2 linked regions of the Coturnix japonica genome follow. The protein of the gene in region 2 purifies or fractionates together with the protein of the main gene of each other region. This does not show direct contact. Links are inferred from orthologs where the notes say so. Each region holds a gene or a part of one and is shown on either strand. Other genes may lie near its edges.

Region 1 (16,258 bases), on a different chromosome or scaffold from region 2:
ACAGTTCTGTGATTCTGCTATTGTGCTCTTTGTAACTGTTGTAGTTTCCATGGAAATAAATAGAAGGCATTACCTTTGGAGCAACCTGTATACAGAATGCACATTTTTTCATTCAGTTCAAAGTTTCGCTAACAAACAGACATTATATTAACTTATCTACACACACATTTAATAAAGTCTAAATGTAGTTAAAGAACTATAGTCCAAGTTAACATTGCATATATTTACAAATCACTGAGTTCTGACAAAAGATCCATGCTCAAAGAAAATCTCATCTCTTTTGTAAATCAGTGTACACATAATGATATTGTCATACTGTCAAAAATACATTTTGAGGGTAAGTTTGACATCATTTTCTACATTGTATTTCAAATCAAAAGAGTTGCAACATAATATGGGGACAAGCCTTCCACTGGCTTGGCTGACATTTTCTCTCTCTTCTCAAAAACATACTTTGTTAATGGAATATACATACCTCCACTTCATCACTTTCATTTATGTCTTTATTATAGCCTGCAGGTGGTGGAAACCTCACATCATGGAATGGTATTTGTCTCTCTGGTTGCCAGCTACGAATGAAAATACAGTGAATGACCTAAACACTTTCACTTTCCTTTTAAGAAATAAATTCATTCATTTCATTTCATCTTTTTTTTTTTTTTTTGTTTTGCAGAGCATTTGCGTACGTATATCAAAATCTTGCTCCTACCTGTACTGTTTTGAAACCTTCCAGTTGTTTTTAGAATTTATAGCTACAGGTTTTATCCCCAACATCAAAAATTCAGGTTAAAAAAATTCTTAACACTTTTAAACTTTTACTTCAAAATCAGTCTCTTTCATCTTTAGCTTAAAAGGAAATAACCCAGGTTATGTCTGAATTCACTTTGAATTTTAAAATTCTTTAAAATTTAATAAAATTAACAAGTTTTTTTTTTGTTTTTTTTTGTTTTTTTTCCAAAAGTAACCATAAAATGACCCCTAAAAAATACACTACTCCATAACAAAGATACACTAGATAGGATTATATATGTACATACACATATACATACACACACCTCACCTTGGTTTTCCTTCCTGAAGGAAACAAAATCTAAGCTAAACAATGTAACAGAAGACTAACTTGCTGTGCCACTAAATCATGGTACAAAATTTAAGCATGGGAAACTGGCATTCATCACCATCTATAAAACAAGTTTTGTAATAAAGCAATTGGGAAAATCTGAAATAAAATATTCAAATAAGATAGAAGCAGTCATGGTATCACCGCTTACTTAAAACACTGGTTGCTATTATGTAAGTCCGATAATACAATTTTCAGATCATTCACCTTCCCCTGCTTTTGTAATTTAAAATATTTAAACAATTGAAAGCACAGACAAAACGTACATAGTAGTTAATCCCCTAATTCTAAAACATAGCAGCAGAATCATACACTATCTTAAGGATGCCACTCTCCGTCAACAAAAGTGCTATTTAGGTTCATCAGATTCAAGATAGAAACTCTCCTAACTCTGTATTTGCAGATACAACAGCAATATACTTACTTGTTTTCAAATGCGACTGTTATTGAATCTTCATGTACATCCTTTACAAATGCCTGTGAAGAAAAAAGAGGTACACTTACAGTATGTCTGCAGATACTTTTAAAAAACAAGCCTCAAACAACGCTTTTCTTCCACAGATATTAGTATTATTCAGAATGTAAATATGTTTTTGAGTCAGCCTTTTACGTATTGTAGTAGACCAATATAAAACATGCACTGAAAGCTGGTAACCTCCTGAATTCACCCCTGTAAACAGGCAGGCAAACAGAATGTCCAAGTAATACACACAGCCTTTCTATTTCTTAGAAATAATGGAAGAGGTCACTAACAAATGACAAAATCATTTTGAAGTATGAGATATGAAATCCAATGTCTTAAACTTGAGTTATAGTTATTATCTCATACTTTCTGACAAGAAAACTACAGTTTAGAAATTAAACTTGACTACCCTTAAGAAAAAAAAAAAAAAAAAGACTTGTTTCACCACAAGATAAGCCTGAATATTGATCCACCAAAAATCACACATATCCATTCTAGCACAATTTTCATTCACACAGTCAGCATCCTTAGCATACAAACTTAAGCAAAATGCCCTGCAGCCTTCCTTGCTTTCTTCTGGGCAATGAATAGCAGCTGTGCTAAGTCTCCCACACAACCATGAAGCAGCGCACACAGTTAAGTCTATAAGCCTAGAGGGTGCTTTTTTCCACTTACGCTACTGAACTCAATGACCCTTGATCATTTCTCAGCTCTATGCTCAAACTCCCCCATCCACCACACACCAAGATTATATTCTAATTAAAAAAACTTAGGGATTCACTAGGAAAGATATTTTTCATAGCCTCAAACAGAGGGCACACAGCAATGAGGGTTGAAAATAATGCATTGTTTGTTTCTTTTCAAAAATACCTTTAAAAATTACTGAAATAGATGGGCACTAGCAACGTGCTGAGTATTTCATCACTAGCATTTATCCAAGCTTCTCACACCCTTGCAAAGTAGAGGTGAATGAAAGTCCAAGAGAGATTACAGAAGTGAATTCTACCAAAGGAGGTGCACCCCAGTAGATGAACAAATTCTCAGTAAGTTGAAAATAACTTAACAGCAACCTTCTTGTAAGTTGTAATTAATGAACTGTAGTACATTTCTTTCTCTCCACTTTTCAAGTTCCCAACAAAAGAATAACAGGTCTTGAAAGAGTGTTAAGATTCTGTTAGGTATGGCACCTAAGAGGTTAAGAAAATAAATAAATCCACCAGCTTCTTTCACAAGTATTCTCAAGCATCCGCTAAATTACAGCAGTATCTCACAAAATCAAACCAAAGCAGTAGCTAATGACCAATATGGAGCTCCAATAACTGATTATAATTAAAGTAAGCAGTAGATATTCACAACTGTCATTAGAAACATTAACTACAACAAAGAAGTAGAATGCTAGTTATTAATCTGAAAACAACGCCATCTCGAACAGAAGCCAAAGCAAAGTGACAACAAGAGCAAAAGTTGTTTTATATCTTGCCATGCGCAGCTCTGAATCACCTATTCTTACGGATAGAACAGAAACTGATGCCTTTAATACCTGAAATAACACTGCCGAGTGTTTGCTATGACTCCTTAACACCACAGAATGGAAAAGATAGGACTTAGTATTATTAGAAACATTTGAGTATACAAAAGTTATTTTATAAAGGGAATCCAACAGAAACGCTACCAAGAGCAGCCGTGAAGAAAACAGTTAAGAGTAACATAATAAATACTGTGTCCTGAGAAATAACTTGTTGATACGTGATTATCACATTCACAAAACAGCAAAAATTGCTTCCGCTAAAGAAAGATGAATGATCCTTTCGGAGAAGTCATCCCCTCTCTAGTCATTAACAACCCAGAAGATGCTCCAAAACTCATTCTGTTGAATATTATGGGTTATGACAGAAAAATGCATGAGCGCAGTAGTTTAAAAAAATTCTCATATTCAGGCCTGACAGCTCCTAACATCCAAATCATCTTGAGTAGAAGCTCCCGACTACAGCAACATAAGCAACTAGATTTGGCAATCTACTATCAATAAACACACTAGATAGCAACACAAACTTAAGTTATCAAACTGAAGACTGATCTAGCACCTTTAAACAGTCTAGCACTTATAAAAATCTGGAAAATGTAAAGCAAATAGCTCACTGAAAGAATATTTAACTATGGGCAATCTTTGTTTTCAATTTAACATCATGTCCTGGTTTAAAGACTGAAGAGCTAGTTACTGGCTGTCACACAATAAAAGAAGGGTGAGCTTCATTAGGCTGAAGATGATCTCAATAATGCACAAAGGTTTACAAGTTAATTATTATAGAGCTTTCCCACTTTCCAGATCCTATGAAGGCACTTCAACACTGCTTTGGCCTCAACCCAGAAATCTGAACGTGCCTTAATCAAGAATTTTTGACCGTGAACAAGCAGCATCAGTAAAGACGTTTCACTGACTTCAGAGGAGTCAACCACAGAAACAGACAGAATATCTGCTTTTTCCTCCAGCCTGGCCAAAAACATTGATGTTACTTATTCACTCTTTGATTTCTAGCCTTGCTGATCTTACAAACATAAAATTCTTAGCAAATACATCAATTCAAATAGATGACATACACAATACCTCAGTCTACTTCTATGAGCTTTATGCTTAGATAACAATCAGACAAAATATATCAAGAGCCTAAACATACAGTTTCTTAATTCTACTTTAATTCTAGAGAAAGCTGCTTTTCCTTGTTCTGCAGTTCCAATCTTGTGACATCAAAAACAAAATCTGATACTTTGATCAGATCACTTTTTACAGCCTATATTACAGCATTATGTCTATTTTCCACAGGTATAACAAGTTAAATAGACCCGTATTAAGTAAAATTTAAGCTCTAAGTTTGTACACTTAAGGACCTGTGCATTTCTAAGTACAAACCGTAATGTTTTGAAACATCAAGTTTTCTAAGTAGCTGTAAAAAATAAAAACCAACTTAATCATTAAAGCACTTGGAAAGCTGAAAGTAACGCTTAACACCACTGTATTTTTTATTACACGTACCACAGAAAACTACACGTAATGCTGAAAGGAAGCAACAGATCATCATCACAAGTCAAATTCACTACAACAGGATAAGCCAGTCCAGATGTCACTGAAGGCAGAGGATAGGTACTGATTGCACACAAACTGCTATTAGAAGCACAGTAAGCAATCCTCAGTCTTTTCAGAAATAAGAAGTCCAAATTGGGCATGGAAACTCAAACCTAAATGTGCATATATGTGGACTTGAAATGCACACCCAAGAGATAGAACACTGGCTACGACAAATATGGACACACACAAGAAGCTCTGAAAACACAGTGAAACTAGATGGAACTAAAATACGGAAATAGGACGCTGTGACTACAGCAGCTACGATATCACTGACTGCAGTGACATCAAGTTAGAGACCATACAAAGAAATTCACATCACTGCAAGTTGTGCTTTTACTTCTGTAAATAGAAGCAAGTTTTACAGAGGCTGGGTCTACTTGTTCTTCTCTGATAAGAAAAGTCAAATTGTGGCACGTTTCCTATACCAGATTTCACTTTCTGTCACATTAATTATTAGCATTTTTCTCCATGCTTTATGAACTACTAAATAGACAGTAAGAATTACTGGAGACACGTATAAACTTATTTATGCACTAAATGGCATGACGGATGCTTCAAAGGAATGAACAGAGGCTGTAGCTTCCATTAAGAGTTTGTGCTGTTGTCCCTCCTAACCCTTACATCAGAAAGAAACAGTCAACCATTTTAATAATGGAGAATAATAAATCTAAGAAGTGAAGATAAGCAAAAATACGCTCTCGAAGGCAAAAGACTTACATTTATACAGACCAATATCTACACCTGCCTAACAGTTCTGTAACATTTCATACCTGTTGCAAGAGTCATAAGGAAGGGCAAATCACATTAGAGAAAAGGCAAACCGAACAAAAAGGCAGACCAGGAAAAGAAGAAAAGTCACAGAATTGAAAACTGAATCAGAAAAAATAGCACAGACTATCATCCTCAGAAGGACCGTGAAGGAACAAAGAGAACAAAGATGCTTGTTAATGGTATGCTGCCTCCAACAGGATGCTCCCTATTGCCAGCAGAGATTACAACAAATAATTACTCCCAAACTGGAGAAAGGAAAAATAAATAAATAAATCCCATGCTAAAAAGACATCCACTACATTCTCTTTTCAAAGGAAATAATATCTAGAGCTAACACTGGAATGACTGGACAATAGACTGTCTGACAATAAGAATATGAAAGCCTTCTATTACTATATGAACCAACACGATGTAAAACAACAGACCCTAACAGCACCTCCACAATTTAGCTATTTAACTGAGGGCTGCTAAAGGGCAGTTCTGTCTCCTTAAGATACACAGCCCTGGCTGTTGGAATAGCCTTAAAAGTAAATAAGGTTATTTAAGCTTTTATTCCCAGGGATTCTGGGCCAAGCAGTGTATGAAGTCATGACAAAGCATTTTCAGGCACTAAATTACTGATTATTCCTACATTATGCTTATCTACTGCACTATACTTTCCATGAAACAAGTCATATGGGAAGAAAAAGTTCATGGAATGGCAAAGCATTCTTAACATAATTAAATCATTACTCCTTGAAAGAATTAGTATCCAGCTATCAAAATGATGCATTCAAGAACTCTTGCGGAAGAATGAACCTGACCAGTATTAAAATCTTCCACATTCTCAATCCATATTCCATCTACCAAAGTACCAAAATCAACTCCTATGTTGCACATGGAACATTACCCCTTTAGATGCATCTCAGCATGTATTCTGGATCAGGTCCCACAGCCTAGTTTGTGTCTCTCAGTAGAATTCAGGTGACAATTAGGCACCGATTTTTTACTTTCAAGATCAAGATGTTGCTGGGAACACTCAAAATCAGAACACACTTATAGACTTGAATTCATACGGTCTTTAGAGAGCCTATGAAAGCCTCAAGGGGAAATGAGGCACTGATTTGTACCACTCCACCTGTTCATGACTCCAGCAGCCTCACATTCCTTCCCTCTACATCCTCACAGAAGCAAGGTTTCTTTTTGCCAAAATATTTACATATAATAATGAAGTTCACAAGAATGATTCCAAACCGAAGAAACTATCAGCAAACCATGAGATGGTATTAAAAAAATTTGCTTTAGATATGCTTTGTGTTATTGTTGTAAAACGAGACTGCTTAAAGAAACTTCTTATGCAGAAAAAAAATGAATCCTGCAATTACGTCCACACTGAACAACTCCGCACTTCTTGTGATGGAGGGATCAATCAATTCGTTTTATAATCAAGTCCCAGATCTGCAAGACAAGCACAAAACTCAAAAAGAAAGAAAATGTTCAGATAAATTACTTCATATTAGTTTGACAGCCAAACATTACGATATGTGAAAGATCAGTAAATAAAATACCAGCAATTTAGGCTACAGCAAAATTGCTGGTCTACATTGAGCATTACTGCATGAGATGGCTTTTTTCCCCCCTAAATAAATAAAACTAAAAGAAAATTAATCTGTTGCTCTATTTATCTTAAGTGTAATGCTCCATCCAGACAGACAATACAGATGAACTGTAATAAACCTACATGTCCCATTTAAGTTCCCTTAGATAATGTGACCAATCCCTCCCAACCAATCCTTACAGACTAAGGAGGGGAAGGGAGAAAGAAAGTCAAATTCCTCTATCTGAATTTCTATATCTATATTCTATATATTTCTATCATCTACAATTTGGAAGCAACGCCCATGTCATAACTCAGATACACTGAACTAAATGTAAGCAATAAACCGCTCTGAGTATATGCCTATCTGTAATTATTAGCTTAACTACAATCAGAAGTGTGCACACACTTTGGAGGAGAGGGGAAAATGAACGTAAAAACATTAGAACTACATGCGACTACAAAAAAGTTTACAGAAGTTTTATAATCTCCCTGGTCGCTTTAACAGCATTGGTTATTAAAGAACGTACAGTATCATTTTTTGTATCACTTATTGTGCACTACTGTGTAAATGCTGTCATATGATTTGAGGAAAGCCTCATTAGAGCTTCTCTCTTAAGTAACATATTTATGCCTGTGTTTATTCCCATGCAAATACTGTACCTTAAAAAAAACCCTTAAAGCTGATTTTTCAAAGCACTAAACAACTTAACTACAGGAAGTGATATGTAGATCCAGGACTTTGAGTTCAACATTGCAAACCCACAGCATACATCTGTGTACCAAACATTCAGACTTCTTCCATACTTTCCTTTTTAATTTATTTTAAACTTCTCTGGAAGGAGGACAAACAAATGTATTTTAGAAGCTTTTAAATTGTCTCCACGGAAAAAAAACTCAAGTCAAAAGAGTGTTGGACCTGTATCATTTGGTACCAGTCTGCCCTACCACATTAACATCAGAGTGTGAAATTCTACCTCTTCTTTCCTTACTAACATAAATATTTGATGCTGCACAATAACAACGTCCACATTTTAAAATAATACAACATTTAAAGAACAGAAAACTCGCAGGAAAAGATTGAGGAATGTTTCTGGTATGTTTGTAAACAGGTGTATGTGACAATGATAGTAGGCCCACCACGTTCACCATGCTCAAACTCGAGTTTTCAGTGAACAGGGTAGAACCATACCTTGCACCCAATGATACACTAATTAATACATCTTAACACAAGCAAAGCCACGCCAGTTTCCAGTATTAACGGAAAAATTAAGAGCTCAATATGTGCATTGAAGAACCAGTGATGGCTTTATTCAGCACACAGACTTGGAAACAAACATGGAACGCTGCTCAGTAAAAGGTACAATTGATAATAAGATGCATATAGGAGCTCAGCAAACATTTCTGGTCAAGCAACACCCTTCTCAATGTTAATATGCAACGTCCCCAGCCGTGGGATTAAAAAAAATAACTGACAACAGCTCTGATCGTGAACGTCTATAGAACAAGCACCCCTCTCCTCCCCCGCCTTAAACGCCGTGCACCAGCAGTGCAGCTCTCCCGGGAACCTGGACAGCGAGAAAGACTTTCCTTAAGTAGCGTCAAAAGCCAAGGATTTAACAATTAACGCCCCATCCCCGGCCCTGATCCTCGCTCCAGCTCCCGGAGACGAAGGCCCAGGCCCTCCTCCCCCGCCCCAGCAGCGCCGGGGCCTCCCCTTCCCACAATGGGCGAAGGCCCGAGGCCTCCTCCGCGGTCGGGGCCTTCCCTCCCTCTGTAGCCCGCACAGCTCTCGGCCCCAGGGCCGCATCTCCCCGGCGTCGCGCCTCCCGCCTCCCGGGCGCAGCGATGGCCCCGCCGCGGCCCCCACTCCTCCCTCCTGCCCCAGGGCCCCACTCTCCCTCCACGCGGGGAGGAGCCGCTGCCGCCTCCGTCGCCTCCTCCTCTTCCTCCCGTCCCGAGCCCCGCTCCCTCCCCTGAGGCCCGGCCCAGCCCGAGCGCCCGGTACCTTGTAAAAGGCCCCGTTGGAGCCGCGCACCTCCACCACCAGCTCCTCCATGTTGTGCGCGGCGGCGCGGTGCGGGAGGCCCAGGCTCAGCACCTCTTCCTTTAGCTTTTCTCTTTCTCTCTCTCCCAGACCCGGAGGAGGAGAAGGAGGAGGAGGAGGAAGAGGAGGCAAAGGTGTGGTGTGCGTGTGCCGGGCGGGGGAGGGGAAGGGGAATCTCAGTTCACCGTGAGCCCGCGGGGGTGGGGCCGCGCGGGGCGGGGCAGGGGGTGGGGGGTGATGGGGGTGGCACTGCAGGCCGCTCCGCGCCGCCGCCGCTCGGCCTCGGCCTCCGGGAAATGAAAGCGAAACGGCCACCGCCGGGCGGCGCGCGAGGAGTAGGGGCGGCCAGAAGGCGCTCGCTTCGGCTGTAACCACTGAATCCCGTCACGTGAACGGCTGCGGCGGGGCGGGGAACCGGCCCCAGGCAGCATGCGCCGACTGCCGGGCTGCCCGGCTGCCTAACGGCCCGGCCGCGCACCGCCCCACACCCCCCCGATCTCGCGAGCGCGTACTCGCGCACTCGTACACAGCCGCAACGGCGTCAAACTGCGATCCAGCCCGGCCCACGCGAGCCTGCCGTCCTGACTCTGAGTGACTGCGCCGCTGGCAAATCACGTTGCGTTCTGCCACCGGTGTTTGGACGAATCAGATTGGGGCAGAGCCGTGGAGGCGGGGCTTAGGGGCCGAGGGGCGCGGGAAGGGGGTTGGTGATGTGAGCGCTCATGGCGCAGGATTGATTACATCCTAGAGGGGAGATGGGTCTTAATGAGCTTTGCACTGCCTGATAGCCTGACGGCTGTGGCCTAAACAGCTCATGAGAGGCATAACGGGCCCAGGGAGGTTGTGGATGCCCCGTCCTTGGAGGTGTTCAAGGCCAGGTTGGACGGGGCCCTGGGCAACCTGATCTAGTAAAGGTGTATGTTTGGTGGCCCTGCCAGGCAGGGGGGTTGGAACTACATGATCCTTGAGGTCCCTTCCAACCCGGGTCATTCTGTGATTCTGTGATCAGCGATGCAGAAGGTCTGGGTGGCAGGTGTGCTGGTCCTCTGTGCCTTCATGTGAGAGCGGGGCATCGTTCAACCAGCTCTGTGTATGGAAACAAAAATAAAGTTTGCCATGCTGTGTCTGCTGTTTTCAGCTGTATCTGAAAGCTTAGTGTACGGTCACTTAGTGTGTGAATTCCAACCCTACAAGTGTTTTAAGTGTTCTTAAAACAGACTGGAGCAGTGTGCATGCAGTTCACTATAGCACTTGGTGGTGGTGTCTGGGAAGAAATGTAGCTGTGGCAAAGCATTGTGTGTCATGGAACTAATGCTGCTCGTACAGCCTGTCATCAGAGCTATGCAAGAACCAGCACGATCTTCCAATGTGCTTTTCTACTAACTGCGGGGAATAAGATAAGATGAAATGGTTCGATTCTTACCTTCAAAAATCACAATTACAGTATATGACCATGGCTGTGATTGCTCTGAATGCATGGTGTTCTCATTGTGTAAGCCACGGAATGACATACTGCACATCATGAATTTTCAAACCTCTTGCTATTTGTGTCTACAATTTAATCTCTCTTGTTTTTTAAGTTACTGCCACAAACCTTGTAAATTATCTTCTTTGTGTGTGTGAGAGAGAGTTAGGATTGTCTATAGTAATCCCCATATGCTGTGTTTGCCTGTTTGTGATGTTATCCTTTGGGTACTGTACCCCATAACCTGGAAATCTCAGGTGGGGAGCAGAATAAACCGTTCAAGATTCAGGTGAAAACAGTTAGATATCAACTAACCCCAACCTGAACTGCCACAACTGCATAGTGCCAGATGGGATCCACCCAAGGGTGCTGAGAAAGCTGGCAGAGGTGATAGCCAAGCACCTCTCCACCATCTATCAGAGGTCCTGGTTGACTGGAGAGATCTCAGAGGATTCAAGGCTTGCCATTGTGACTCCCATCTACAAGGTTTCTAAGGAGGATCTGGGAAGCTACTGGCCTGTCAGCCTGACCTCCATACCAGGTAATGTTTTGGAGTGGATCGTCGGGGGGAGATCACATGGCATGTGTGGGACAATGAGGGGATCAGGTCCAACCAGCATGGGTTCACAAAAGACAAGTCCAGTTTGACCAACCTTATCTGGTATGATTGAGTGATTTCCACCTGGAAAATGAGGGAGATGCTGTTGACATAGTCTACCCAAACTTCAGCAAAGCTTTTGACAGTCTCCCACAATATTCTCCTAGACAAGCTGGCAGCTCATGGCCTGGACAAGTACACTCTTTGTTGATAAAAAATTGGCTGGAGGGTCCTAAGAGTGGTGGTGAATGGAGTTAAATCCAGATCCTGAGGTGGAGTTCCCCAGGGGTTGGTACTGGGGCCTGTCCTGTTCAATATCTTTATTGATGGCCTTGACGAGAGCATTGAGTGCACCCTCAGTAAGTTTGTAGATGACACCAAGTTGGCAGGAAGTGTTGATTTGCCCTATGGATGGGAAGGCCCTACAAAGGGATCTGTACAGTTTGGATAGCTGAACTGAGACCAATGGGATGAAGTTCAACAAAAATGAGTTCTGGATCCTTCACTTTGGCCATAACAACCTCAGGCAATGCTACAGGCTTGGGACAGAGTGGCTGGAGGACTGTGTAGAGAATGGGCTTGGGGGTGTTGGTTGACAATTGGCTGAACATGAGCCAGCAGCATGCCCAGATGGCCAAGAAGGCCAATGGCATCCTGGCTTGTATCAGAAGTGGTGCTGACAGCAGGAGCACAGAAGTGATTGTCCTCATATACTCAGCACTGGTGAGGCTGCACCTTGAGTACTGTGTTCAGTTTTGGGCCTCTGAGTGCAAGAAAGACATTGAGGCCCTGGAGCATGCCCAGAGAAGGGCAATGAAGTTGGCAAGGGGTCTGGAGCACAAATCTTACCAGGAGAGGCTGAGGGAACTGAGATTGCTTAGTATGGAGAAGAGAAGGCTCAGGGGAGACCTTATATTTCTCTACAACTACCAGAAGGGAAGTTGTAGTGAGGTGGGAGTCAGCCTTTTCTCCCATGTAACTAGTGATAAGGCTAGAGGGAATGGCCTCAAGTTGCACCAGGGGCAATTCAGGTTGCACTTCAGGAAACATTTATTCTCTGAAAGAGAGGTCACTTGCTGGAACAAGCTGCCCAGGGAGGTGGTTGAGTCACCAACCGTGGAGGTGTTCAAGAAATGTTCCTATGCTAAGGGGCATGGTTTAGTGGGGAAATATTGGTGGTAGGTGAACAGTTGGACTGGACAGTCTTGGAGTTCTTTTCTGACCTTAGTGATTCTATGATTCTATAGTTCTATTTTTCTAATTTTAGCAAATTCTTGAGTACAATGTAGTGTCGATTCAGTGTAATGACTTACTGTAAAACTTGCATTGCTCATTGAGCAGGCTATTTCACTACTGGCTTGTTTGGTGTTGGTAGAGTGCCTAAGAGAACTAGAGGAGAAGCTGAAAGAGGAGTAGCAACATTTGTATATGAAACAAAACACTGGGGAGATAAGGTAACATAGTATCAGTACCATGAAAAACATTAGGAAAAATAGACCTCTTGTCACTATTTCTCATGTTAGGAATGCCTTTTTATTTAAACTCCGAGTAATTCTTCTGGAGAGATCATGTACTGTCCTAAACCAAAGTTAGGTAAGTTTTTTTTGGCATTTTTTATTTATTCTAGTTATTCTCTTTTTAACAAAATAGGTTGCTGCCATGCAGGTATATTATCTTTAAGCAGTTAGCATCTCAGGATGTCTAATTTAGCTGTCTTCGAGTGATCATTTCACTACTTCCTCTATGCTAAACACTGCTGTACTGTACAATCTTCCCCAATTCTTTATTTATTTATTTTTGCCATTACTTAAATTCAGCATTTTCTGTTTTGTCTTGTCTAGCAAACATTCTTATCCTTGTCTGCTTAGACCAATTTATGTATCTTGAGAGCATACTGTCAGTTTTCTGCTCATTGACTCCTAATGTTTCTTTGTATTTTTTCAATTTGCTTACTGTTTCTGCTATTTTACTTTGAACTATCTTCAGACTGAATTGTCAATCCCTTCTGAAATGTGATGCTCACTAATTAACTAGTTTTTATATAGCCTTAATGTAAACCACATCCTTTTAAATGTCTATCAGAAACGTGGTGACTCTGCAAAAATAGATCTCAGTAAAGATCTAAATACTAAAATACTTTGGTCTTTTAAAATATAAAAGTAAAATGTTTAATTCAAATGTTTGACTTGGTTTCTCATATGTAACTCTGGTGTTCAATACCATTACACAGACTGCAGGATTATGTTTGGACCAAAATACTTTCTCCCCTCCATCCTCATAGTATTTCGTGGTCCCCAAACATCTCAGTTCATCTGCTTTAAGTCTTGTGTTTGGTCCTTCAGTTGCTCAGTTCTTTTTCAGATCTATGCTGCTTTGTGACTTCAGACTGCAGTCTGCAGACTGCAGACTTATCAACTAATCTGGAAAGTATTTGAGACACACTGCATATTGAAATATGTTTTCTTCAACAAAATAATAATAATAGTAATAAACATTTATTCATTATGCATGTACCTAGGTGCTTTGTTAAACATTTGTAGAGAATATAAGAAAAATGTTTCCTCATACCTTGTCCTTAGGAATGTTGAAGTGCAGGAAGCAAAGGTAAACGGCATGTTTCAGGGCATATCAAAGTCCTTTACCTTTCATCTTCAGTACTAGTTTAGCTAATATCATTTCCCTTGGACTTTTCTCTTAGGTGTACCTGTTCACTGTCTATCTTCCTCAGAAATGGTAGCAACTTGAGCATTTAAAAGGCAGGCATCAATGTCTGCCTTTCAGAAGGACAGCAGCAAGCAGAGACTTTCCATCATAAAGAAATGGTTCTAGGTTTCTGAAAAGCCATTCATATAGGCACTGAGAAATGAACAGTGGGAAGTAGCATTATTTTTAAAAGGTGGTTATCTCATAACTGTTAAAGTCTCTCAATGGAATTTTATCCAGTTCTTACTTAGGCAAACATTCTGATGCTCAGTGAGGAAAAAAAAATTAAATAAATAAAAATTAAAAAAATTTGCATTTTTTACCTCTAGTTGGGGACTGGGATAGTAACATCTCACCCACCCTCCCCCCACCAAGTTGTCATTTAGACCAAATGGTTCAGACTCCTCATCATTTTATAGTTGTAGCCAAATGTTTCAGTGAACAAGAGACTGTTGCATTATTTTAAAGACTAACTCAATGGCTTCTGCCACATATGATACAATTTCATGTATATATGCTGTTTACACTGTCTCCACTTGCAGACATAGTAATTTTATCTTGTATGTTTAATTAAATGCTATATCCATTGTAAATTTCTTGCATCAAAAATTCTGTTAGAATCTCTAATGTTCATTTTTAGCCCCACGATATTCAAAATTTTGCATGTTTAACAAGTTCCTCATGAGAGGCTGAATGTGTACAAGTCTATGGGACCAGATGATATTTGGTTCTGAAGGAACTGGCTGATGCAGTTGCTATGGTGCTCTCCATCATATTTGAAGGGAAACATCACTCCCGTTTTTAAGAAAAGGAGAAAGGGAGACCTGGGGAACTACAGATCGGTGAGCCTCACCTCTGTGCCTGACAAGGTAATGGAGTAAATCCTCCTGAAAGAGATGTTAAGGCACATGGGAGATGGGGAGATGATCCAAGACAGCCAGCACAGTTTCACAGATTGCAGATCATGCAGCAGCCTTTCCTTTGGGTCCGTAGATCCCCAGATCCTCATTACAACCCTTCTTCTAGATAGTGCTCTCACTAGCAAGCCTCCAATTCTCTGTGACCTCTCTGTGTGACCAGGAACACTGATAGATGATGGAAAGCAGTTTGGCTATTACCTCCACCATATCCCTTAGCATTGTTGGGGTGGATCCCATCTGGCCCCACGGGCTTGCGTCAGTCCAGGTGGGAGGTAGTAGGTCTGTTTCCATCTGAATCATCAGGGATTTATTCTGCTCCCCACACAAGACTTCCATGCCAGGGGGCAGAGAACCCCAAGACTTTGAAAGACTTTTTTATCTTCATTAGCTTGAACAGTCTTTGACATATCATATGTATGCTTATATTCTGGATATATTTGCTATATGGATTTTTAATGTGATTTTCATAAATAATGTAATACTAACTTGCTTTTTTATAACTTCACAAGCTCCAGAAAATATGTTTGAAGACATAACTCAAATATTTTCTAAACACAAAAAAGAATTAAAGTGCAGTAATTAAGTCATTACCACAAGAGGTCCCCCAAAGACAATTTGTCTTGAAGTGAGAACATGAGGTGATGAAAATTTGTTTTCAGAATACTGATGTCCCTGTTTAATTAAGTTTTAAGACTAATTGAACACTTCACTGAAGTTTTGAAAGAAAACATGATCTTAGTTTCTTTAATACTGACTACAGACTAGCTTAGGACCAGTAACTTTATTTGGACCTGTTATGGTTTTGTAATTTGGTTCGTGTTGCTAATCCACGTCAGAACATCATGTGGTTTAATGGGAGCTAAGGAGACAAGTTTTTTCTTTTTTCTTCTTTTCTATGGCCTGTCTTTAATGGGCATGGGGGGAGGGGGCGGCACCGGAGGGAAGGTCGGGAAGGGACGGGGTTTCGCCCGGTTCCCTGCGAGGAGACAGCGTGGTTGGATCTTCTCGCCTCCTACAGCCAGTCGGTGAGATTTGGACTTGTTTTTTTTCTCCTCTCTCGTTGTTGTTTAGCGTCATTGGGTTTATTAAACTGCTGTTCGTTCTCAGATCGTTCTTTTTTTTTTTTTTTTTTCATTTCTTCCCTCCTAGACCGTTTGCAATCTCTCTTCCCTTCCCCTCTCTCGCAGCGCACGTGGCCGGGCTGCTCTGCGCCGCACCGTGCAGTTAGAGAGGGGAGGTACTTTTGTTCCTTCTCTCCCCGGGTTTGTTCCTGCTGTCACGGAATGAGCTCTAGAGAGAACTCCGTGACAGGACCTAATTAGACATTATAAATATCTAATGCCATTTGTTGTAGTTTATATTAATAGTGAACTTAAACAGAGTATGGGAACTGCTAAATCATGGTCTGAACCTCTGACTGACCACCTGAGGTGATCAATAAATCAGCCATGGGAGCACAGGTGAAGGCAAT
Region 2 (16,258 bases):
ACAATTTTGTAAACACCAACTTGGAACACCTAATAACCTCAAGATACATAAGAGATTCTTGGTTATCTGAAAATGCAGTATATACTTCAATATATGACATAACTTATGTAAACAACCAAAAAAAGGAAATAAAAAACGACTTTCTCCCATTTTGGTTACAGCTGAAAAAAAAGTCACAATGGTTATTTTCTTTTTCTTCACTTTTTAAGGAAGTAGGGTTCACTCTGATTCTTCTGAGAAATAAAACTGAAAATATCTGTTGCTCTAGTACCCAAGAGCAGAAAAGATGAAAAATGTGCATTTCCTCAATTTCTTTCCTTTAAGAAAAAAAGAGAACACATACACAAATAATAATAATAATAATAAAAGTAGCAGTGACAGTAGAAAAGAAGTTAGAAGATGAGGAAACAGGAACTTCATATAGGATGCAAAGACGAGAAAGGGAAGCTACACTGGAATACTGTTAAAGCAGGAAATCATACAAACAGGAACACAGAAAATTTTAGTTCTGGGTGCTTGCTTTTGTTTTTTAACAACTGTTTGATAGACTCCTTAGAAATCTGGAGTGCAAAGAAATGAAGGGTAGGCTAACTATGAATATATATGCAAATAAATTCAGGTTTTCTTATCTACTGTGTCAGGCACGCATTACAATAAAGCACAGCTGCACATTTGTTGAGCTTAGACAATGGTGTCTGCTTCCTTAACAAAGAAAATCATGTTATTTCAAAAAAACAGGTGCAAAAGAAGAATAGAAGCATGTGGTTTTCTTAAATACATCCTATATTAAAGACAAAATTATTTTTATGAACTTCAGCAGGATCACAGAGCTTCTTCATTTCTGAGTCTCAATTCAGCTCAGTTGATATTTCAGCTTTCATATAATCTTACGAGATCATATAAAGATGGCAGAAAACAGTGCTAATCTTCCCACAGAACAAGAAACACCATCACAAGATCATAGGCGAATCCAGAATCATAGAATGGCTTGGGCTTCAAGGAAGATCAAACTTCATCTACTACCAATCCCTCTGCCAGCAAAGGGGATCTGATCCAGGTCTATAAATATCTAAGGTGTAGATGGAGTAAATATCTAAGGTGTGGATATGTAAGTGGCGAGGCCAAACTCTTTTCAGCAGTGTGTAGAGACAGGACAAGGGGAAATGGCCAGAAACTGGAGCATAGGAAGTTCCACACAAATGTGCGCAAGAACTTCTTTACGGTGAGGGTGATGGACCACTGGAACAGGCTGCCCAGGGGGGTTGAGGAGTCTCCTTCTCTGGAGGTATTCAAGACCTGCCTGGATGCCTACCTGTACAACCTGGTGTAGGAAACATGCTTTGGCAGGGGGACTGAACTCGATGATTTCTGAAGGTCCCTTCCAATTGCTACAATTCTGCGATTTTGTGATTAAGTCATGTATTAGATCAGGTTGCCCAGGGCCTCATCCAGCCCAGTCCTGAACACCTCCTGGGGGAAATATTCCACAATTTCTACGTGCAGCATGTTCCAGCACCTCAGAATCCTCTCAGAGAAACATGTACACATGACATCTAATCTAGACCTCCCCTCTTTCAGATTAAAACCATTGCCCTTGTTCTGTCACTTTCTACCCACATAAAACACTGATTTGCCTTCTTCTTATAAGCTCTCTTAAGTAATTTGAGGTCATAATGAGGTCTCCCCAGAGCCTTCTCTCCTTCAGGCTGAAAAAGGCCAGCTCCCTCAGCCTGTCTTTGTAGGCTAGGTACTCCAGTCCTCTAATCATCAACCTATGCCAGGTAACCTTGTAAACTACCTTAAAGAATCATCGCTACTCACCCTGTAAAAACCATTTTAACTTGACCAAGTTAAAATTACACAGCAATGCTATTTAATACTTAAACTACCAAGTAGCTGTGTCTTGCTGAGTGTGCTAAAAAGTCCCATGAAACCCAGTACCAGCTAGATTCTGAAGGTACCATTTCTGCATTCATCAGCCCAACTCTAAAAGCTCCCTAGATCACTCTTCTGTGCTTTATCACAGTTCCTTCAAGCCACAGATTCACTCTTCTCTTGAGCACTTCTGCTAACTTCTAATGTAGAGATGAAAAATATGCAATTCTCATAAAATGTTTTTCTAAAATTCCAAAGAAACAGGAAACTAAACTGTACTACCTGGACCATAAGAACGAAGGCATCACCTAAATAATATGGGATCGAAGATAAGAAAACATTCACTTTGAAAGCATTTACTGACTGGACAAGTAACAATGTGCATATTAAGGCCAGAATGTTGTTAAACACTGTTCAGATGTTATCGTATTAAAGTTAAGAGAAATAAGTGTAAAAATAAATACACGGCATTTTTAATGCCAGACCACTAGTTGTACAAAAAAAGCTTTCAATGCCTAAATCTAAAGGATGCATATAAGAGTACAAAACGTAAGTAAAATAAACTGAGTAATGAGTCTGGCTTTAGCCATTATTAGTCCTATTATGAATAATCTGCTTAGCTTTTCAAGATGAAAAATAGAATAAGAGCATCTTATACTATATAGAGTATTGTACTATATAACATCATTACAATATTCATACTATATGTTTTATATTAATTTTTGTGAAAACTATAAGGTAACACAGAACACGTGAACTTGAAAGAGGAAAAATAGACAAAGAAACATCTGAAAGTTGATGTGATAATGAATTTCAAGTGTAAGCTACTGTTTTCTACAACTGACTGTATTAAAATCAAGTACTAGTAATCCAGAATGCGCAAAGATGACAGGATCCTGTTTCTCGGTGGTGGTGAGTTCTATTGTTTGTTTTGGGTTGTTCTTTTTAGAGCATATCAGCTTCCCTATTTCCACGCATTGTCTTTCTTGTTGATGTTACTGACTAATGTCACTAATGTTTTATTTTTTCCCACTCTATTGAGACCTTAAGCAAAATATTTGTCAAAATCACACTCGGAAGTAAACTTCAGACCACCTTGCAATGCCTTCAGAGCTGTGTATTTATTTAGAGAGCTGATTATCAAGCAAATCATGATTAGACAACGCCTAGATTTCCTCAACTTATGTGGTATAAAACATCAGCACATATTAGTCCTTCCTGTTTATTCACAAAACCCAGCAATGCTAATTCAAGAACATGCATGACTCTTACACAGAAAAACAAACAAACAGTAAGCAAATATCCACAGTGATAAAAAGTACTCTAGTAATGTAACTTAATTGTGTCCAGGAAGATTATTCACTCATATACAGTTAGTTAAGAAGTTTCTTCTACATGAGTAAGCATAAGGGCCCCACGTAATGTTCAGGGGTAAACAAATAAATAAATGATCTACACACTCAATGGAGGGGACTATTTCAGCAACAGCTGGAAACACCATGAAGAACAAACCAATAACATTTCCAGCAAATCCTTAAAGTAAGTATTTAATACCAGTTGTCTTTCAAAAATGCTTATACTGGCCTCAGGGACAGTTAAAATACTAATGCACACAAAGCATGGAAGTAATGGCTTGAACCCTCAGAAAAAAAAAAGAGATGTTCCAGATCAAGACTGGATAACAGAACATCCAATAGCAAACCGACTTTCTTAATCACTGTGATTGCAATAATATATAGCCTTTTAATAAATCACTCCCTTCTGATCTGAAAGCTATTGGAGTAACATTTGAAACAATGCCCAATAACTACCTAATATAACTGCAATAAAACTAGATAGTATTCTACTGTTTACAACACTGTTTTCCTAGAGGCATTGCTCTGACACACTCAACATGATCTGAAAACAAAAACCCAATCTTTTAGAAAGATTAAACCGAACATAGCTAGCGCTATATACTTTTTCCTCAAGAATACGAATGGAAAAATAACTCTTTAAAGCTCCTGAAACAGGCATTAGGAGAGTTTGAGGACAAGAGCTTAACTTAAAGCTCATAAACAGCTATAAAATGACTATTACTCTGTTTGATCCATCAGCATTACTGCATGCATTGACAGAACTAAGCCTTGTCAAAATCATCCTCCATTGGAAAAAAAAAAAAAGTATATATATATATATATATCAGGGAAAAGAATACATAATTTTTACATACACAGCTTTAAATAGCAGGACATCTGATATAGCACTGGACAGTAAATGCAAGCATCTCTAGACTGGAACTACTTCATGGAGACCAGTTGTAGCTGAAATAACAAATCCAATCATACCTTACAGCAAAAAAGTCTGCAAGAAACCAACAGACATCCACAGAGAGAGCAGAAGGCAACTAAGCACTGTTAGTTATACCGATGTATGGACAGGAACCAGGAAGCATAAGAGCAACTTCAAAGAATAATTAGAATAGGTGACGAGTTATGTTTTAACTGCTTACCATCAGCTTATCAGTACTCAGGATTTCACTGATCAGATAAATGCTTTATTTCTGAATGCTTGAGGAAGTAATGCTTAAATTGTAATGGAACACATATACTCAAAAGAAAATGAAGTAAATGTAGCATCACTGCTGAATAACATGTTCTAATTTTTTATAAGGCCTCCTTGTGTCTTTATTCCACTTAAAATACTTCACAAATATTCATGGTATACAGTCATTTAGATGGAAATGAATGTTCAGCTTTTTAAATCCTATGCAAATACGGCCATCTTGTGGCTAGTGCTGGTAGTATAGATTTTTTTAAAGCCATACAGAACAGATGTAAATAAATGATAAAATATTTTTATGTATTAATGACAATCACCTATGACGGTCAAGTAACCATACATTTTCTAAAAATATTTATCTATTGCATTTATACTACACAATAAATTTACTTTCCCTGCAAGATGGAAAACAGATCACACATTCTTGAGATACAGATACATAATGCGGATAGAAATTTTGTATGAGAGGAAAAACTATAGCATGAAATTTTTTGATCTGTTCTGAAGCATTTCTGAACTACAAACGACTGCCTTCTACCAACAGATTATATAGACAAGTCACTCCTGTCCCAATCAAGCCACCACTGTACTAAAAGGACATGACATAGTTGCCACTACTAAAACCTTGTAGGATGATTTCCACAATTGGAGTGCAGCTATCAACAAGTACAAGCTGTTCAGAAGGTGAGGAAGGACGGGAGAAGGCACTGCCCTTCACACTGAGGAAGGAACAGAGTGTAAAGACCTGTCCCTGAAGAATGGCAAAAGACCAGCATAGCTGAATGGGGATCTGCTGGTCAAACCAAAGAACAGGAAGACACAGGCAACAGAAGCAGAGACAGGTACCCTGTGAAGAATATAGGGATACTGCTAGGCTGTGTAAAAATGAGGTCAGGAAGGAGAAGGCCCAACTAGAACTGAACTTAACAATGAATGCAAATAAGGGCAAGAAAGGCTTTTACAGGTACATCACTCAGAAAAGGAAAGTTCAAGAGGGCACATCCTCACTTATGAGGAATAAGGGCAGGCTGGTAACAATGAACAGAAGAAAACTGAGGGACTTAACTTTTTTGCCTCAGTCTTCACTGGCAACTGCTCTTCACACACCCTTCAAGTGGATGGGTTGGAAGGCAGGAACTGGGGGAGTAATGTCCCTTGCACTGTAAGTGAAGATCAGGTTGGCATTCACCTGCAGAATCCAAACATCTATAGTTCTATGAACTGATGAGATGCATCTCAGAGTCCTGAGGCTGGTGTAATGGCCAAGCCTCACTCAATGATATTTGAAAAGTCAAGTCAGTCAGGTAAAGTACCTGGTGACAGGAAAAAAGACAGTGTAGCATCCACTTGTAAGAAGAGTAGAAAGAATGAACAAGTGAGGCGCTGGAATAGGCTGCCCAGAGGCTGCCAGTGCCTCATTTTTGGAAGTGTTCAAGATCTAGTGCTTGACCTAGTAGTTGGCAACTCAGCCTACAAGAGGGGTTTGTAACTGGATGACCTTTGAGGTCCCTTCCAACCAAAGATATTCTACGATTCTATGACTCACCTATGCACTGGGAAGGTCATGGAGCAGATCCTCCTGGAAGCTATGTTAAGACATATGGAAGAGAGGGAGATGTTGTAGGATGTGTGCATAAGCATGTATTCACCAAGGGCAAGTCCTGCCTGACTGACCTTGCTATTTTTGATGGTGTAACTGTGACTGAGGACAAGGGGGAGCCCCTAATGTCATCTATGTAGACTCTAGGAAGTCTTCTAACATGGTCCCCCATAACATCCTTCTCACTAAATTGGAATGATACTAATTTGATTGGTTGACTGGTTGATGGATGAGTAACTGGTTGCAAGACTGTACCTAGAAAGTAGTGATCCACGGCTCAGTGTCCGGAAAGAGATCAGTGACAAGTGGTACCCCTAAGGGGGTCAACATTGGGACTGATGCTCACTATACTTGGTCTTGACAACAGTATCATCAGAAAAAATAAATCTGGACAAATTTAAACAGCCTCACTCATCAAGCTTGTTTTCTTAAAATAATTCTGCTTTGATTTACTGCCATACTCAATTTCAACAGTAATGTAATATGTTTCTCAAGAAATTTCACATCACCGATATATGTCATGAGTATTTGGAATGTAGGAATAACTTCTTGAATGGAGAATTACCACTACCTTTAAAATATAATTCCTTGATTTATCTTATCTGTCAACTGAATTTTAGGAAGAACACAGGAAGAGCACCCCAGTGAGGTCAAAACTCAAGTACTACATAAAGATACAACAAAAGTCAAAAATCTGGAACATAAAAGTATAGAAAAAAAGAATATTATATAGATTATAAAGCACTGTATCATCTGACATGGATTATCCATACAGACTACTGGTTACACAACAACAAAGTTTACAGCTTTAATCACGTATATCAGTGGATAAATCAAGGTATTACTAACATATATCATTATGTATCATAATCTCACAGCTACTTTGCTTTATGCTTAACATGCTTTGTTGTTCTCACGAGTGAATAAGAGGGGAAAAAAAAAAAAAAAAGCAAAAGCAAAAGCAAGGCACTTGATATTAACTCAAAATCCAACAGTTTAAACTGTTTCTGAGTGATAAAGGAAGCTGCTACGATCAATCACATTTGTTTAAGGACTTCAGAATTTAGAAATAGTCTATTACAGTCTAGTGCACAAGCTAATGTGTTAACATATTTATCCTCAAATATTGGTTTAATTTGTACATGATATAATGCCAAAAAGAGACTAATGCAGTACAGATAACTGTCATCACAAAGAAATCGCAACAAGAGAAGTGAATATTATCTACCTTTTCCACCTTTCCACCATTGATGTCACTGGGGAGGAATTTCTTGCCAATGGTTCTTAAATCTGTCTGAAATTAATATAGAAGACAACAGAATATAAATCTAAAATATCCTATTTCAAAGAAAACAATCATAAAACAAGAAAAAGAAGGGCTTCTGTAATGTCAAAATAAGGATACTCTACAGATATTCAGAGCACATACCATAAAAGAGAGCATAGACATTCAACTTACTTTCTGTTGCACAATATAGCCACAGAGTGATAAGAAAGTACATTTGGTTTTCAAACTGAGCCCACCCAAGGAAACCGATCTGTCGCTTGCCTGTTATTTACCTCTGAACAGCACAGCAACTCCTTTGAACTGTCCCTGCAATAATCTGTATTCGTACAGAATTTGACAAGTCTCCAGAAAGATGCTTTGCAACTACAGCAACAAGGAAGGAGACAGAACTTTTACAAACCCTTTGCAAGATCTTAGACAAAATAAAAGCATTTGAAGAACTGAAGGCACGCTTACATTTCTTTCATTCCTATTCAAGCAATACACAAAAAAACATCAGTTGGCTTCTTGGTTTCTTTTGACTTTTAACAGCCAATGAGAGGTGTGAATTTTTAGGAAGTGGAATCTAAACTCTCTTTATCCTGCTTTTCAAAACACAATGGTATTCCCTACTTATCCAACAGGAAACATAATCTCCTGGGAATTTAAACAACAACTAACTTAAAGACAAAAATACTGATAATCCATTAAGATTGGCTTTGGGTACTTTCATAATATTTCTGGTTTATCTTGGTTATCTATCAGCCAAGCTGGAAATACAACACACAAATTTGTTTATTTCCTCGTGGCAGAAATAATTACTAAATCAAGATATCTACAGTAATTGAAGCAATGCTTGTAGTTACATAAATAAGAACGCATCATAGCAAACTCAATGTTTGCTTGAACAGGCTTTAAAAAATAGCATACCCAGAAGTCAATTTAAGTAAGGGTGTTTTACTAATCCTAGCAAGCTGATATTTTGTTCTATAATTTCTTAAATCCATACACAGCACTTCTGATTTCATTTCAAGTACTGCTTATACTTTAGATTTACATTTCCAAAACACAGAAATATCTTCCTACTGCAAATGATTCTCATTTTTCTCCCCATTAGGCTTCTAGTTGGAATAGGCGTCATTTCCAAATGAAATTCAGAAATAATTCATACATTCTGGGAAGGAGAAAGGTGCTTTGTCCTTTATGTAAATCGCACAGACAACAGTGTATTTAATTAGAGTTATAGACTTCCACCTGAGCCATCAGATATATTGTTTTCAGTGTGTTGTCAGAGAAAAAGTTCACAATCATAACTTACATTAAGTGCAACTAGGATAATGTCATTCGTATTGACTTTTTCAGATGAATTTATGCAAGTTTCGATTCCTTCATCTGAAAGATACCTGTGTTAAAGAAAAAAAAAAACAGACATATTAGGATATACATGATGTATGTAATAGGTGAATATCTGTTCTGCATGCAAAGATCATTTTTAGTTTGTATTTTCTATGTTATGAAACATAGGAAGAAAAAAACCACAAACAACCACATCAGTTTCTAAAGAGCAAGACGATGCACTCAAATGCTTTAAGGAGGCAAATATTATACTGTCATTCTACAAACTTTCTTCTTGCTCACCTAACCTACAAAATAACTTGTAGAAGTGGATTTGTATCTCCACATATCCCAAGAGTCAAATGTGGTGAACAATTTTAGAAACAGAACATCTCTGGAAGCATTTGAGATTTTCACAGTGGCAGTCCAGGATCACCACCTTCCTGCCAAAATTCTGTAAGCATGCAATAAATCTAATCACCTGGCAATTAAAGAAGACCCACTGAAAGGATGTGCATTATCAATTTAAAAGGGCTGACACATTCTCATGTTCAAAAACACTTAAGGAGAATGTAAGTTTTACTTGAGCAGTTAGAAACTGTGACATTTGTTGCTCAATTTGCCTCCTACTTCTCACTACAACCCCTCAGTTTTCATTCCCATGTAGATGGAGATCTGCTTTATCTGTACAGTTCTGCCTTTTCTTTAAAAACATCAACAGCAATCATTACACTGATAATTGTCAGACTCTGAATCTGAAACACAGAACTTGCCCAAATAATATTCATGTACCAATTACCTAACGAGAAACCATTATTCCTCAAAGAATAAATAACCATTAAAGGAAATAATAATAATAATAATAATAATTAAAGTTTAAGTATTCCAGAACACTTAAAGAAATATTTAAAGAGAATCATTCCCAAGTGTAAAATAAAATCATATAAAGATTTGAACGAAAGCAGACTCAATACACCTTTTTAATTCTAGCTCAGCTAACATGAACGTTGCCCTGACAGTGCTGCCAGACTAATTAATGATCCTCGTTGTGCTCTGACCCAGACACTTGATAGCAGTGTAGCTGTTCAAATCAGACACTGACACTTAGCAAATCCTGAGGGACCAGAACTCGATAAATAACTAAATAAATAAATTATAATGTGGAAGAAGCAATCCTATTTTTTCATACGGAGCATACACTAGAGAATAAGGTGGCAGGATTTGTTAGTCCACGCAGGAAAGCAGATTTCTCAACTGAGTGCCTCTGAGCTTGGGTATCACCACCTGTGAAGATTCAAGTGGTAATTCCCACTTGGAATTCTCAGACAGACTTGTTAGCTGGAATCGGAATGTAAAGTAGAACAGAAATCACACACCCTACCAGAGGAAATGGGAACAGGTATATTCTATAGGCAGCACTACACACCTGGGGCCTCAGCTGTGGATTAATTACACCAGTAGGGTTTCCATAAGGAGAAATTTAATAGAATCTGCAAGTCTACCTCCTATAATCTTTAGTACAGAGTTGAGGATCAGTTGTTTCAGGAGTGGGTGGAATACAAACCCCACAAGCTGAATTTCAGACAAGTTGTGGAAACATTCCTTCTCTTGTGCAAATTAAGTAATTCTTTGGTTCTGCTGAAGCTAGCAGAACTGCAATTCCATTATGAGCTACACAGTGTAGTACTGAGATGCAAGCACTAAGATTTATCAGCAGGAAAAAAATATATTCGTTAGAGAGTGAGTAAACAACAACCTGACCCAGAATTAAATTTTCCCTAGATAGGATAAAATTGATTACTTCTGCTACCATAAAACTCACTGCTGAGTCGTGTTTCCATCTCTCACTTAAAAGTGAAGGCTAAAACACAGCTGATAAAATTTCTTAGTTTCCTTTGTCTCACTACTTCATAGAATCATAGAATGGTCCAGGTTAAAAAGGATCACGGTGATCATGGAGTTTCAACCCCCTGCTGTGTGCAGGGTCACCAACCAACAGACCAAACTGCCCAGAGCCACATCTAGCCTGGCCTTGAATGCCTCCAAGGATGGGGCATCCACAGCTTCCTTGGGCAACCTGTTCCTGTGTGACACCTCCCTCTGAATTCTTCAAATGGTTTGAGACAAAATGATAAATACACATATGCACATTGAAAAAGGTTTTTCTTTTCTGACTTGTTAATATGTCAGTTAACAACAGCACTTAAGAGAAACATTGCACACCAGACTGAAATCTCCATCCACATTACAGAGGAGACAATAATGAAATGCCATTTGAGGACACCTTCTGGCTTGATTTAAGGAAACACTACAGGTTCTCAGCAAAAACACAATAATCAGTTTTTAAATTAGTCTTCAAACTAAAATAAATTTTTAAAAAAACAAAAACAAAAAAAAAAAAAACAGCCAATCAAAACAGCTTTCCAATAACTTCTCAAGTGGTGTTTCTGTGTAACAGAACATATAAGTAAAACAATCATCAGAAATGGTCAGGAGATTAGTGAAGAATTGCGATTAGAAAAGGCTGTATACCCAGACGGAACCAAAACACACATTTCTTCTACCCAGACAGAAGCCTGGAAGGAGTGCATGTCAAACTAATGATGTTTTAACCATTTAACCCTCTTGCTGCTTCATACAAGTAGTATTCCTAATACATATTTTCTTCAAAACTCTGCAAAGTTCTTTAAAATAAGTATATTTGTTCTCCTTATTGTCTATATTGCCTCCTGTAATAACTATCTAAGTTACAAACATTTCCTGCTACAGGCCCACAAAGTATTTAAGAAAAATAAATAAATAAATAAATAAGAGCCAGTAATTCTAAGAAATTTCTTCTAAAATAAATGCATTTGTACAGAGAAAACGTTTTTCAAGCATGAAATGGGAGTTATGATTGACCAAATTAGCTCTTTAGCTGGCATAAGGTCTGAAATTCCTTTGCTTGGTTGAAAGTCGCTTCTTTCTGTTCTTAATAAGGGTATGTGACGTGCTGAATGTACAGCACATAGCAAAAGACACTTCATATTTTTCCCCCTTTATTATATAGAAGAAGAAAATCTGACCCTGAACCAAAATCAAAATCAGAGAAACCCTCCTCAGAAGGAGCCCTGGAGATCAGCACCTGCATTACAGTCATTCAAGTGCCTCACAGCGCCTACATTAACTGTTCTGCACATTTTGCAAGATACCATGACCTACCGCAACCCTACATAATGAAAGGTGAACTACAAAATGATCCCATTACACTAATCCAACATGATTCCTACCGCCAAGGGGTGGGAAGCACTCCTAAGCTGTCCATGAACTAGATTACACCGCTGGAACCTGCTCATGAACTCAGAATCCCCAAGACATAGCTGGCAGCACTGTACAGATTCAAGTACCATGGGACAGATCTTTTTCTGCACACCTTAATCCCAAGCTTCTCCCTCTTCTTTGAACGAGGGGGTGGGGGGGGGCACCACATGGAACAATCCAGCACAGGAATATTGTGCTGTCACAATCAAGACATTTCCCTTCATATTTTCATTAAACACACAAGTCAGAAGTCAGAATTATGCATGTGTACTTAAGGAGAAAGTATAAAAACGATGAAATAAATGGGTGAGAAAAGCCAAGCTCAGTAAAGCTTTTAAGAAGCACAATGCAGGGCAACAGCTGACCACTGACATCTTACACAGACAGTGATGAAACAAATTATTTTCTTAACATGTAATGCAAATAACAGTATCCTGCAAGATATCCTGCAAGTGAAAGGCTTAAAAGAAGGCAACTAGCTTCCAACTTGCAGCTTATTTTTTGGCTTTGTCCACAATGTTCTTAAACATCCTAATACTACGCTATTAGATGTCAGGGCAATTTTTTTCATTGAGAGGGTGGTGTGGCATTGGAACAGGCTGCCCAGAGAGGTTGTGGGTGCTCCACTCTGGAGACACTCAAGCCAGGTTAGATGGGGACTTAGACTGAGCTGGTGGGTGGCAGCTCTACCCACAGCACAGGGTTGGAACTGGATGGGCTTAAAGTCTCTTAAAACCCAAGCTATTTTATGATGCTTTTGAGGAAACAGCACGTGTGTGTGCATGTTACTCACTGAACTTCTGAAAGCTGGTAATTGTATCAGCATTAATTGCAAGAATTTTCAGTTTCTAAGGAAAAAAATACTCACTAGAGTTGAACAATCTCAGAGGTTATAAACTGAAGTAATCAGACAACTGTATCGATTTCAAAGGAATTATACCAAGTAATGCTCTATGAGTCACACAGGGATTTTGCAGCCTTGAAACATTAATACAAATTAAAAAATAAGAAATAAAATCGGTTTACAACTAAATGGGCTCCAAGCTGCCTCATAAGGTTGAGATGTTTATCAGCGGATCATTCTCTTGGGAGAGTAGACCAGAAGAGAAAGGAAAATAAATGCTTCTCCTGCAATTCTTCCACATTATATTTGCTGGAATCCAAGGGATATTTGTCTCATCTATTCCTCCTCTACGCATCCAGCTTCACTCATCTGAGAAATGTAGCAGCACAATCCTCTTAGCAACAGCTTTTGTCAGAAGAGCAACTCCTTTTTAAACAGAAGGCACCTGTTCTTACATTTCTGAATGAGACGCTGCAGTGGCAGTATTACTAGGAGAAATCCACTAGTATTTTGTGGGAACCATTCACATATAAATCCAACTCTGTAATTTTTCTGTCAAAACGTTCTCTATTAGCTCCTAAGAAAAACAAATTTTGGCAGTTCCTCCTAACAAAATAAATACGAGTGGTAACACTGAAAGCTTTTTTCCCCACTGCTCCTTCATATCAACTGCGACATCAACCTAATAGTCCACTTCTGAATGTTTCCCGCAGACACCCACACTCTTCTCTTTGATATTTCCCATTGTTGGGGGCTGTAATTCTGCAGTACCAGTCTCAACTATGTCCCTAGCCAACTCATTTTACCTTCTGCTTTACCTCATCAGGAACAGATTACACCTGACATACCCTAATCAGACAGATTTGTTACTGCCACACTATAACCACCTGCATCTGAAGCATTAAAGAAATCCTGCTACCAAAGACAGATGCATATTTGTGCTTGCCTGCACTTTACTGCTGGATCAAGTACCTCATATGCAAGCAAATGTGCATATGTGCATGTAGAAATTTTACAGTGTTTAAATTAAAAGCTTCATTCTAGAATTAAATCCACCTGGTAAACAACTTACCTAATGCTATTTTTTTTCTACCAGCAGCTTTCTTGAAAAGTCTGTTTTTGCTATTTGCAATTAACAGTCCATATTCAACCAAAAATCTTCCCTTGGGGTGAGAAAGAAAGAAGGAAGGAAGGAGGTAAGGAGGGAGGGAGGCAGGAAAGAGGGAGGGAGGCAGGAAAATAGTTATTAATAAGCATGCTAAATAAAATTTATGTTTTTTAATGTCCATACCTCTCCACAGAAACACTGAAACAGGAACCAAAAATGCAAGCTGCATTAACAGTACTTCCCGTAATTCTGGCAGCCACCTAAAACAACTCTGGAGTTTTAAAGCAAATTTAACATGGCTAATTCTAATGTGTGTGTGCAGTAACAAAAATGTTCTTCCCATTTCTTCCCGAAGAAAACAGATTTATGCAGTCATGCCACACAAAGAGCAACCTTTGTAGAGAGCATTCACATTTCTGATAGCTGGTAACGCCACGAAGGGGAAGAACAATTTTAATCAAGTTGAACTTCACGCAATAATACAAAGCCACCAGTGGGTGCCAGTATTGCTCCACAGCAGAAGAACCTTACCTTCACATTACGTATTTTAAACTTGTGCTGTAGTCTTTTGATAGGGTTTCAAAATGTTCTGCCGAATTACAGTTGTATAAAGGAATTATACCGCAGTAGTACAAATTTTACTGAGGCACTATCATTAAAGCTGTTTTTTAAAAAACACAAAACACATTTGAAAACATTATTATGCTAAACATGGAAATCAGGTTTAAAAATAAGGCTTCTTCATGCCCTATAACCTGCGTAATGCTGGGTAGGCAACTGACATTGCTCTGTTTTAAAATAAAAAGCCCAGACGTTGAAAGGATGATGTAGTATTATGCAAGCTACTAGAGAAAATAAAACAGAACTTGAAGGTGAAGAAGAACAGAGGAGTTATGAAAAGGATTCCTAAGTCCTAACAAAATTAGGGCCGAACACTTCTTCATCTGCAAGGCAAACATCTGTCAGTAATGACAAATAACCTCCACTGTTGTTTTCAGTAGCATTCTTGGCAATTTTACTGTTACTATCCTGACATCCAGAAAAGGGATTTTTTTTTTTTCCCCAATGTCTAGCCTTGCCACATTGCCTCCTGTTGCTTCTTGTTTTCTCCACATTTGTGGGGCAGAGATTGTGCCTTTCCTTTTTGCAGTCGCTGAGCCTCACTCTCTGTACTTACAGAGATGATCATTGCTAGCCAGAAGTATTTTTGTTCTCCCATCACTTCTCCAGTTTGTTAATTTTACTTTGAATCCTAATACTGCTCACTAACAGCTCCACATTCCTGCAGAGCTTTATCTTGTGTTTAAGCCCAGAGCTTCATGCTTCACCATTCAGGTGCTTAATGAGAGTATCAAACAAAGCCTGACCTAGACGATGCCTCACATTCTGACAGTGAGCCTTCCACAGCCATTCTTCCTAGTATAGTCCAATCAGACATATAACTGCAGCAAAGGAACTTTACACATAATGTTTCTTCATTTTACTCCTTAATGATAGGAGGGTTGGGGAAGCTGGAAATTGCCAGTAGAATTCCACTTCTTTACATCATCCAGAATGCTGAGAATTACAGAAACGTGGTTGTAATTAGGTTGCTGTTCAGGTGAATGGATACCAATTTTACTTTTAAAACATTACTGACATTTATAGAACTGCTGCACAGCCAGCACAGCACCCGGGCTCCCTGGGCAGCTAAACTTGTATCCTAGCTCCCTAACTTTTCACTCCTGGACATATAACAACACTAAGTGCTGTCTGTAACCCAGGTCAAGCTGAAACTTCAGCAAAACACTCATGAAAAATACATTCCGAAGCTCCAATTCTCACAGTTTTAGCTGACAAACCTTAAGGCCTTAACCTCCCTTCAGGTGTCTGTAATGTCTGACTTTCAATAAAAACACCATCTAAGAAAGCCAACATATTTTTAGAACATAAAAACAGAAAATTATACATATATGGTTGGGAGTGTGGATCTGCCTGGGGGTAGCAAGGCCCTACAGAGGGATTTGGAGAGGCTGGAGAGTTGGGCTGAAGTCAACGGGATGAGGTTCAACAAGACCAAATGACGGGTCCTGCACTTCGGCTACAAAAACCCCGGGTGATGCTACAGGCTTGGGGCGGAGTGGCTGGAAGACTGTGTAGAGGAAATGGACCTGGGGGTATTCATTGATGCTTGACTGAAAACGAGCCGACTGTGCCCAAGTGGCTAAGAAGGCCAAGGGCATCGTGATTTGCATCAAAAACAGTGCTGCCAGCAGGAGCAGAGAGGTTGATTGTCCCACTGTATTCAGCACTGGTGAGGTCGCAGTACACACCTCGAGTACTGCATCCAGTTTTGGGCCCCTCACTGCAAGAAAGACATTGAGGCCCTGGAACGTGTTCAAAGGAGAG

The links.
Region 1: the proteins of TDRD3 (region 2) and FMR1 purify together in Homo sapiens (affinity purification with mass spectrometry; 4 studies listed by BioGRID and IntAct, with this or other methods). This does not show direct contact. The link is inferred for Coturnix japonica from reciprocal best matches to the Homo sapiens genes TDRD3 and FMR1.

The regions. Positions count from the first base shown.
Region 1 is NC_029519.1:17,289,867-17,306,124, forward strand, and holds the start of FMR1 (synaptic functional regulator FMR1), read right to left. Parts: upstream 9,331-16,258; 5' UTR 9,114-9,330; coding exon 9,063-9,113; intron 1,598-9,062; coding exon 1,545-1,597; intron 570-1,544; coding exon 476-569; intron 1-475.
Region 2 is NC_029516.1:145,177,532-145,193,789, forward strand, and holds the start of TDRD3 (tudor domain-containing protein 3), read right to left. Parts: upstream 8,688-16,258; 5' UTR 8,602-8,687; intron 7,311-8,601; exon of another isoform or gene 7,307-7,310; 5' UTR 7,245-7,306; intron 1-7,244. UniProt on the Homo sapiens protein: Scaffolding protein that specifically recognizes and binds dimethylarginine-containing proteins. Plays a role in the regulation of translation of target mRNAs by binding Arg/Gly-rich motifs (GAR) in dimethylarginine-containing proteins.